Macaca mulatta: one gene and its partner. The protein of the gene in region 2 purifies or fractionates together with the protein of the main gene of each other region. This does not show direct contact. Links are inferred from orthologs where the notes say so. Each region holds a gene or a part of one and is shown on either strand. Other genes may lie near its edges.

Region 1 (4,013 bases), on a different chromosome or scaffold from region 2:
CTCTTGTTGCCCAGGCTGGAGTGCAATGGCGCGATCTCGGCTCACTGCAACCTTGGCCTCCCAGGTTCAAGCGATTCTCCTGCCTCAGCCTCCCGAGTAGCTGGGATTACAGGCATGCAACACCACGCCCAGTATTTTCAGTAGACAGGGTTTTCTCCATGTTGGTCAGGCTGGTCTCCCAACTCTCGACCTCGTGATCCGCCTGCCTCAGCTTCGGAAAGTGCTGGGATTACAGGAGTGAGCCACCGTGCCAGGCCAACAATACTACTTGTAAACTAGGAAGGGTATGGGGAGGGGCTGGGAGTGGGAGGGATTGTCTAAAATGGTACCCCCTCCCTTTCCAGATCTTATCTCCAAATAGTTATAAGATATATACCTAACACTAGAGTAAACATAAGAAGTTGGGCCAACGCTGAAGCTTCTCTAAATGGTATTATTTTCCAGAGTATATTCTCAAACTAAAGACAGCTCTGAAGACATTTCCTAGAAGAACAATGCAGGCTGCCTGCCACCAGGAGGAATGCCCTAGTCTCATATAGTCACTAATTATAAAAATAAATAGCTGTGTTCAACGTATCCAAGTAATACCAATTTATCCAACTTATTTATCATAGATGTTAAAATATGAGTGTGTACCATTTATTTTTAAATGGATTTAGGCTTATAAAATGGTATCACTTCTTTTCATCAGTAATCAAAGTTCTAAAGACAGTATTGTCATTTGATGGAAAAGAAAACCATCATATAAATTTAAAATTTAATAACATAGAGGTTATTTGGCATCACAAGCAAGCTTCCATCCAGACGAAGCCTAATTTGTGGGGAAGAGAAACAGATATCCCATTGCAAAATTACCAAGAAGTATTTCTGTTACCTAATAGTTCTTTGATACCCCAAACAAAGTATTTTATCAACAAAACCACTAAGTACAAATATTTATAGACAGGAACACCACCACTGCGAAATAGGAAGCCATCCTTCCAGACACTCTGCTCCTTGAATGCCAGCAACTCAGCTTCAGACACACTGCTACCTTTCTTCCAAACATACTCCACACCAACATTACCATGGAAAGCAGCAACACATGGAATTTACAGATTAAATGAGATTGTAGCAACATTGAAATTGGTTTGTCCAATTATTTTAAATGTATTTTAATTTTACGTAAGGGTTGCCCTGAAATTCTTTATGAAGCGGACTTCCCAGGGGGTGGGTAGGTATTTTTATAATAATGTTTGAAAAATAATTCAAGCAATCTCAAACACCATTTTAAATCGATAAACTAATTATAATCCATGTTTACGAATTAACAGACAACCGATGCCTACTAAGCAAAAGACGTCTGACTTCCTGTAGAGTAGATCTGTGAAAACAAGCTTCGTCTTTCAGAACTACGCGGCAGAGCTCAGCATTTACAGCGAAGTCCAAGGAGCTGTGACCCTTGCGACAGATTCTCGCGCTTCTCAGCGCTACCAGTTGCACGGCTCCAGTACTCCCCCAGGGGCGGGACTGTGATCTTTCCTGAAGCCAAAAAGTTCATCATCCTAGGTGAACCTGAAGCAAGCAGCAAGCCAGGCTCTCCCCAGCAACGACAGGAGAACAAAGTGGCTCCGTGAACTTTGCTGTCTTGACGGCTGGGACCCTGCACCCCGCCCCGCGCTTTTTTCTATCGTTGAACGATCAGAGTGGTCTCAGCCCCTGCCTCCCTTCCGTCCGGAGCCCCAGGGTCACTCCACGGAGCCCGCCCGCCCCGAGGACAGCACCTTCCAGGAAAGTTCCCGCGCCGAGGGTCCCGCTCGTGGACGCAGCCCCAGTCACTCACGTTTCCCCGGCCACGCGCGGCCCCTCCCTCGGGTCAGCAAAGATGCGGCCTGGGACTGTCTGCGGGCCGGTCTCGCGGGTCGCGGGAGGCGGCCCGAACTGCAGCCCCGGCCCCGAGCCCCCAGCCCTGGGGTCCCCGTTACTGCCATAACTCCGCGCCCAAAAGTGGCAGTGCTGAGTGGAGAGAGGGGCCTGGGCGACACCAGCCGGCCCTCCAGCCAATGGGGAGGAGGCCAGCAGGAGACTCGCCGCGCCCCCCGAGAGCCGCCGCATATGGGAATCGCCGATTTGGAGGGCGGAGGCCAGGAGGAGAACCAACCACACCGCAAGGCGGAAGAGCACAGCCCGCCCCAGCAGCGACAAGGCCCAATCCGAGGCTGGAGGCCGAGCGACCCGAAGACGTTCAAATCAACCACACTCCACCCCGCTCCTCCCCGAAAAAGAAAAAAGAAGACAGCGGAAACACAGACCCATGCCAGTTATTGCGCTACACCCGCCTTCATCCGCCTCAGCGACCAATCGTTCCGCAGGGGAATGATAAGGACATTCCACGAAGGACGTCACAGCCAACCACCGGAAGGCTGAGGCGGGACGTTCCACAATATGCTAATGAGATTCCTATAAAAGAAGCTGCGAAGCTACGTCTTGGATAGAGCGCGCAGGGGCGCCTTCCCGGTAGGGGTATCTGGTGCTTTCGGGCATGGCGATGGATTTTTTTTGCCCCCACCTAACTCTTCCGTTTCCCTACTGCGTAGCTTTGTAAACATTAGTAAACTCGGAGTGGTGATCCACATTCAAAACAGAGCCCCCAAAGCCTTGACTGACCTCGCAGAAAACTTTCCCCAACAGCCAACAATTCCCGGCGGACACGAACTCGCCACCTCTCTCTGACACCCTGGGCGGCCAGGTCTGTAGAGAACGACCCACAGGTCCTCTCATCTGCCACAATCCTCTCCAACCCAGCGATCTGCCCGCGCCCCCCCGAGCGCAGCGCTGCGCAGATGGGCGCCTTCCCCGCCTCCGCTCCTCCCCTTCCCTTCCCCACGGCACACAGAGAAAAACCCTCGTCCTCCGCAAACTACAACCGGCGGCGTCTCCCCTCGCAGTCGGCCCTTACTCGGTGTCCAGTGCCAAGTGAGGGCCGGAGGGGACTGGGCGGGGGCGACCGAGCTACCCCGAACGGAGTACTACCCGGTACTTTATGTAACACTCGGATTGGGGACTGGGTGGGGGGCGGCGAAGAAGGGCCAGGGGAGCGGCGTTGCTCCGGACCGAGGCACCGGGTCCGCGGGAACCCCGGCCCACAGCCGCCCTCCTCCTTCAGCCACATCTCGGCGTCCTACAGCCCCAGGCGCCGGCACATCCCTCCATCTCGCGCCGTAATCTGCACCCCCTCCTAGAGGACGCGGCTTGGACCCGCCGCCCCCTCCCCCGCAGCACCCGCCTCATCACTTCACTACAAAGAGCGCTTTGGTCGCGCAGCCTTGCAGCGAGACCTCTCGCGCCTCCTTCCTCCTCCGTGTCCCGGGCTTTGCACACAAGGACCTTGGCGAATCAAAGGCGCTCCAGACCTTTTGTTCCTGCCCCTGCCGAGGGCCGCCGCTGCGGAGCCGGCCGCTTCCTCCGCTCCACGGCAGGACCGGGCCGGCTCCGCGGCGCGCCCGGACCCGCCGGGATGGAGGCGGCCGCCCCCGCCCATCCATCACCCGGCCGTACCTTGGTATTTCGCGTCGATCTCCCGCATCAGCGAGACATTTCTCTGCAAGTCGAAAGGCAGGGACTCGATGGAGTCCAGGTAGTCCTCCACATAGTTCACCAGGTGGAGCTGCTCCCCGTTGGCAGGACTCAACATGGTTCACCCCGGAGGTCCCCGGCGACTCGGCGCGGCTTTCCGCTTCCTCCACCCCCCGCCCCCCTGAAAAAATAGCACTGCAAAATGCAAAGCCCTCGCTCTCCCGGCGCCCCCCGCCGGCTCCTGCTCCGGACCGGCGGCTACATCTGCCGAGCCCGTCCGCCGCCTCCGGGTCCGCGGGTACCCCAGCGCCTGGGGGCGCGGGCCGCGGTGGCGGTGGCTCCCGGGCGCACGCCCCGGCCGGCGGCGCAGGCCCCCTCTCAGGCGGCGGGGCTGGCGCTGGGGGCCGCGCGTACGAGCGCGCACACACCGGCGGGAGAGGGCCCAGCGCAGCGGCCGC
Region 2 (3,963 bases):
ATAAATTATTAAACAGTTTAATCTTTTGGGGATTAATAATATAAACTGAGGTCAAAAAAGAGTAAGTTATGTGACAACAGAGCCGCAAAAATTGTCAATTTAAAATGTAACAATTCAAACTGTGTAAATGCATGACAACTGGCTATATTTAATTTTGCTTTCATTTTCAGATTTCTCAAATGTTTTAAACACTTAAAAGATTGTTCATATCTTTTTATAAAGGTTTCAGAATGCACTACTTAGGATTTATATTAAGCATAAAAAACTTCCATTTACCTCTGGGGTATCAATATCTTGAACAGGTGAATCACCTCCATCATCATCACTCCCTTTTCTCTTTCTTCTGTTTCGAACACTCTGAATTAAGTTTTTATGATAATCACATATGTAAAGATGCCTTGCCTGAAACAGAAAAGTTTCACACACTGCTAATGATTACAGTAAAATGTGTCTATGTATTAGTAAAACACATATGCCACAGATAGTAAAAATAAAGACAGTCAAGATGGCCATTGTTAACACAATGAAATATTTATACATTTAAATCCTAAACCCTGTTAAAACATAAGAAGTCTGGAATACTGTTAAAAGGATGGTGGATGGGGAAGGAGGGGTTGGTTCCATTTGGGGAAGGGGTGAAGGGAGGGAGGGAGAGGAGAATGAGAAATTCCAACCCTCTGGGTTTTGGCATCAAATTGCAGTGAGGGGCCGGGCGCGGTGGCTCACGCCTGTAATCCCAGCACCTCTTGAGCTCAGGAGTTCCACACAAGCCTGGCCAAAATGGTGAAATCCCGTCTCTACTAAAAATACAAAAAATTGGGCGGGCGTGGTGGCACTAGTCTGTAATCCTAGCTACTCAGGAGGCTACCGCAGGAGAATCACTTGAACCTGGTGGGTGGAGGTTGCAGTGAGCTGAGATCGCGCCACTGCACTCCAGCCTGGGCAACAGAGTGAGACTTTGTCTCACATAAATAAATAAATAAATAAATAGCAGTGAGGATGACATGAATTAGTTCATGTTGAATTTTTAACTGTTAAGGGGAAAGATGATGCTGCCCACTTTTGCTACTTGACAGTACTTTCTCTACTTAAAGAAGAGCATATTTTTGTAACATAATGTATGCTTTCCAGTCTTTCCAACTGAATGCCCAAATTATATTCCGGATACAAAACCATCCGTTTTTACAAATGAGCTATCGACTTCATAACTATATTTAAATTTCAGTTATCAACTTTTCTGAATATTAAATTAAATCAATGTATTTATTTATAACACATTTTCCCAAAGCAATCTGAAATTATGCAAGTTCACCTGAAAAGTTTCTCACGGATAACACTGAAAACTGTTTAAACGGGCAAAAAAGTATCACAAATAAACTTTTCAAAAACTTTAATTACACACACTCCTGCGAACTGTAGACTAACATTTGAAACAAATACGGACTGAGCTAACAGGCTTTTACATTTACTTCGAAGCCAAGCGCAAGATAAAAATACGCAGGACTTGTGGTAGGTTCTTGATACCATGTTATTCATTTACCGCTAGCCAGATCTCCCAAAAGTAGCAACGGCTGTTAGATGGTCAAACGAAAAGACGCGCAGGAGGAGGAAAAAAGAAATCCTGATGGCTGCCAAGGGGATGGCAAAACCGCAGAGGCTACGTGCTCCCCACCATCGGAGCAGCTGCCCTCGGAGCTGACAGCGCAAACGCCGTTTACAGCCCCGGCTCACTGCCAGGCGGCGGGCGAGCTCGGCTTCCCTCTCACTCCGCTCCGGAGGAGACGGAGCACAGAAAGGAACAGGATCTTCCTTGATCGCGAAGGTCCTCCACTTTCCCCTAGACCAGGGGAGTTAGCACCGCCTGGGGCCAAACACCAGCTTGGGCAGCGAAACAAAGGCGCCTCCATTCCAGAAGAGCTGCCGGGCTGCAAGAAAACTACTCTGGGCCCTCGGTCCGGCGGTCCCCTTTGTTTCGTGTCCTGGTCGCAGAGGAGAAGGAAGAGGGAAGACAGTGCGCGGGAGAGTCGCAGGCAGCGGGAGGCTGGGGGCAGGGTGGGAAAGAAAAGGGGAACGACAGCGTGCGTGTTGTGTGTGTGTTGGGGTGGCGGTCGGAGTTGCAGCGACTTTGTTATTTGCTTCCAAACACAGACTCCACGAGACCGCACTGCAGCCAGGTCTGGGAGACCCCGCCGACAATCCGTGCCTTTGCCCGACTCCTGGGGCCCCACCAGGGGACAGGAGGGCAGGGCGATCCCGCGGTTACTTACGCTCTTATCCAGCTCGATCTTCACCTTCTTCTGGGAGATGCTCTTCTGGATCCTCTTGCTGAAGCTGGCGTTGCCTGCCGCCCGGCCGCAGCGCTCACCATCCTCCCGCAGGCAGCACAGTTGCCCTGGGCCCGGCCCGGCCGCCCCCGGGGGCCCAGCCACTGAGACCGTCCCCGCGCCCGGCACCTCAGCCCCGGCGCCCGCGCCAGTCCCGTTCCCCGCGGAGGCGGCGGCGGCCGCGGCAGCGACTACGGCGGCCACTGCAGCGGCCGCATCTCCGCCGCGGCTCATCTCGTCAGGCGTGAAGCCGTTCATGTCTCCGAGCTCCCGAGCGCCGGCGCTGACACAAATCCCCTCTCTCCTGGCCGCTCCGCCTCTCTCCGCTCCGGCAGCGGCAATTCACTCTGTACACCAAGTTAGCGGCACGGTCAAACACCAACCGTCCCGGGCCTGCTGGTCTCTGCTGGCCCCGGAACAGTGGACAGTGCTGAGGGCCCGGACGCAGACTCTAGCGTCTTCTGGAGCCGGGACCCCGCTCACTGTCACATGGGGACTTCAGCAGTTGGACCGCTACGCCTCCGCCTCCCTCCGGCCCCCGGGACTGCGCAAGCGCGACGCGCCCCCTCCCGTCCCGCCCCTTTCTTTCAAACGCGCGGCCCCATGGGAATTGTAGTTGTCTGCTACGGAGTCAACCTGAGCTCCGCCCTGACCCTTCGCCCTGCGAGATGGAGGAACTACTAATCCTAGCATGCATAGCGCGGCCACGGACCCACTTTTTTTTTTTTTTTCAGTACCGGGAAAACAGGAGCGTGTGATTGGGGTTTACAGTGTTTTCTCTCTCTCTGTCTCTAGGGAAGTCGGGCTGTGTTTAGCTGCTGGGATTTCGTAGAATTGGGTTTCAGAGAAGTTACTCGATTCCTGAGGCGAAACATAAAGGGATGGGAGTGGTGTGGGAAGTGAGCGTGTGCGGAAAAAAAAGTTTCGAGGCCGTTTCGCATTTGTGGAAACACAGCTTTTGGTGTGACCGCGCTTTTGTGGGAAACCCAAACCAAGGAGAACTCAGGAGAATTGGCGCTCTTCGGTCCTGGAGGTTCCGCAGCTAACATCCCGGCTTGACCAACTATCGAGGCAGCAAATTAGTAGGGCACCTCCTGGGAGGAAAACGCCCATCCTGACTTTTCAACTGTGACAGGTCCCCCTCACAAACGCCTCGCGGGGGGCAGGGGGGCGTTTCTAAACCCTTGCATGTTCCTACAAGGGAAATGTGTTTATTCTTGGACGCACGGAGTTGGCCGCCTCCTGAGGTGGAGTACGGACCAGCTGACAACAGGGCTCCTTTTCACCTCCACGCCCAACCTTTTCCATTTCTCCTCAAACGGTTTTGGAGAAGGGCGGAGTCGTATCATTTTAAAGGAGACTTGGAACCTCACCAATACAAACGCTGCTCGACTGTTCCCAGAAACTTCCCTGCATTAGCTCTACCGGCGCGGGTAGTAGAAAGCGCATTTCCTGAGACCTGGCAGGCGCGTGCGCCCCTGCATGCTGCCCGCGTTTGTGCGCTCTTGCTTATATGTATGTGTTCGCGGGCGCGCGCGTGTGTACGTGTGTGTGCCCGCGTACGCGTGTATGTCCGTGCGTGCATGCGGGGGGAGGTGCTCGTGGAGGGCGGGGCGAGGGATGGGCGTGGCTAACACGA

The links.
Region 1: the proteins of SAP30 (region 2) and ING1 purify together in Homo sapiens (affinity purification with mass spectrometry; 6 studies listed by BioGRID and IntAct, with this or other methods). This does not show direct contact. The link is inferred for Macaca mulatta from reciprocal best matches to the Homo sapiens genes SAP30 and ING1.

Annotation. Positions count from the first base shown.
Region 1 is NC_133422.1:105,125,827-105,129,839, reverse strand, and holds the start of ING1 (inhibitor of growth protein 1), read right to left. Parts: upstream 2,812-4,013; 5' UTR 2,296-2,811; coding exon of another isoform or gene 2,292-2,295; 5' UTR 1,971-2,291; coding exon 1,823-1,970; exon of another isoform or gene 1,764-1,822; intron 1-1,763. UniProt on the Homo sapiens protein: Cooperates with p53/TP53 in the negative regulatory pathway of cell growth by modulating p53-dependent transcriptional activation. Implicated as a tumor suppressor gene.
Region 2 is NC_133410.1:181,801,680-181,805,642, reverse strand, and holds the start of SAP30 (histone deacetylase complex subunit SAP30), read right to left. Parts: upstream 2,804-3,963; 5' UTR 2,583-2,803; coding exon 2,268-2,582; intron 403-2,267; coding exon 277-402; intron 1-276. UniProt on the Homo sapiens protein: Involved in the functional recruitment of the Sin3-histone deacetylase complex (HDAC) to a specific subset of N-CoR corepressor complexes. Capable of transcription repression by N-CoR.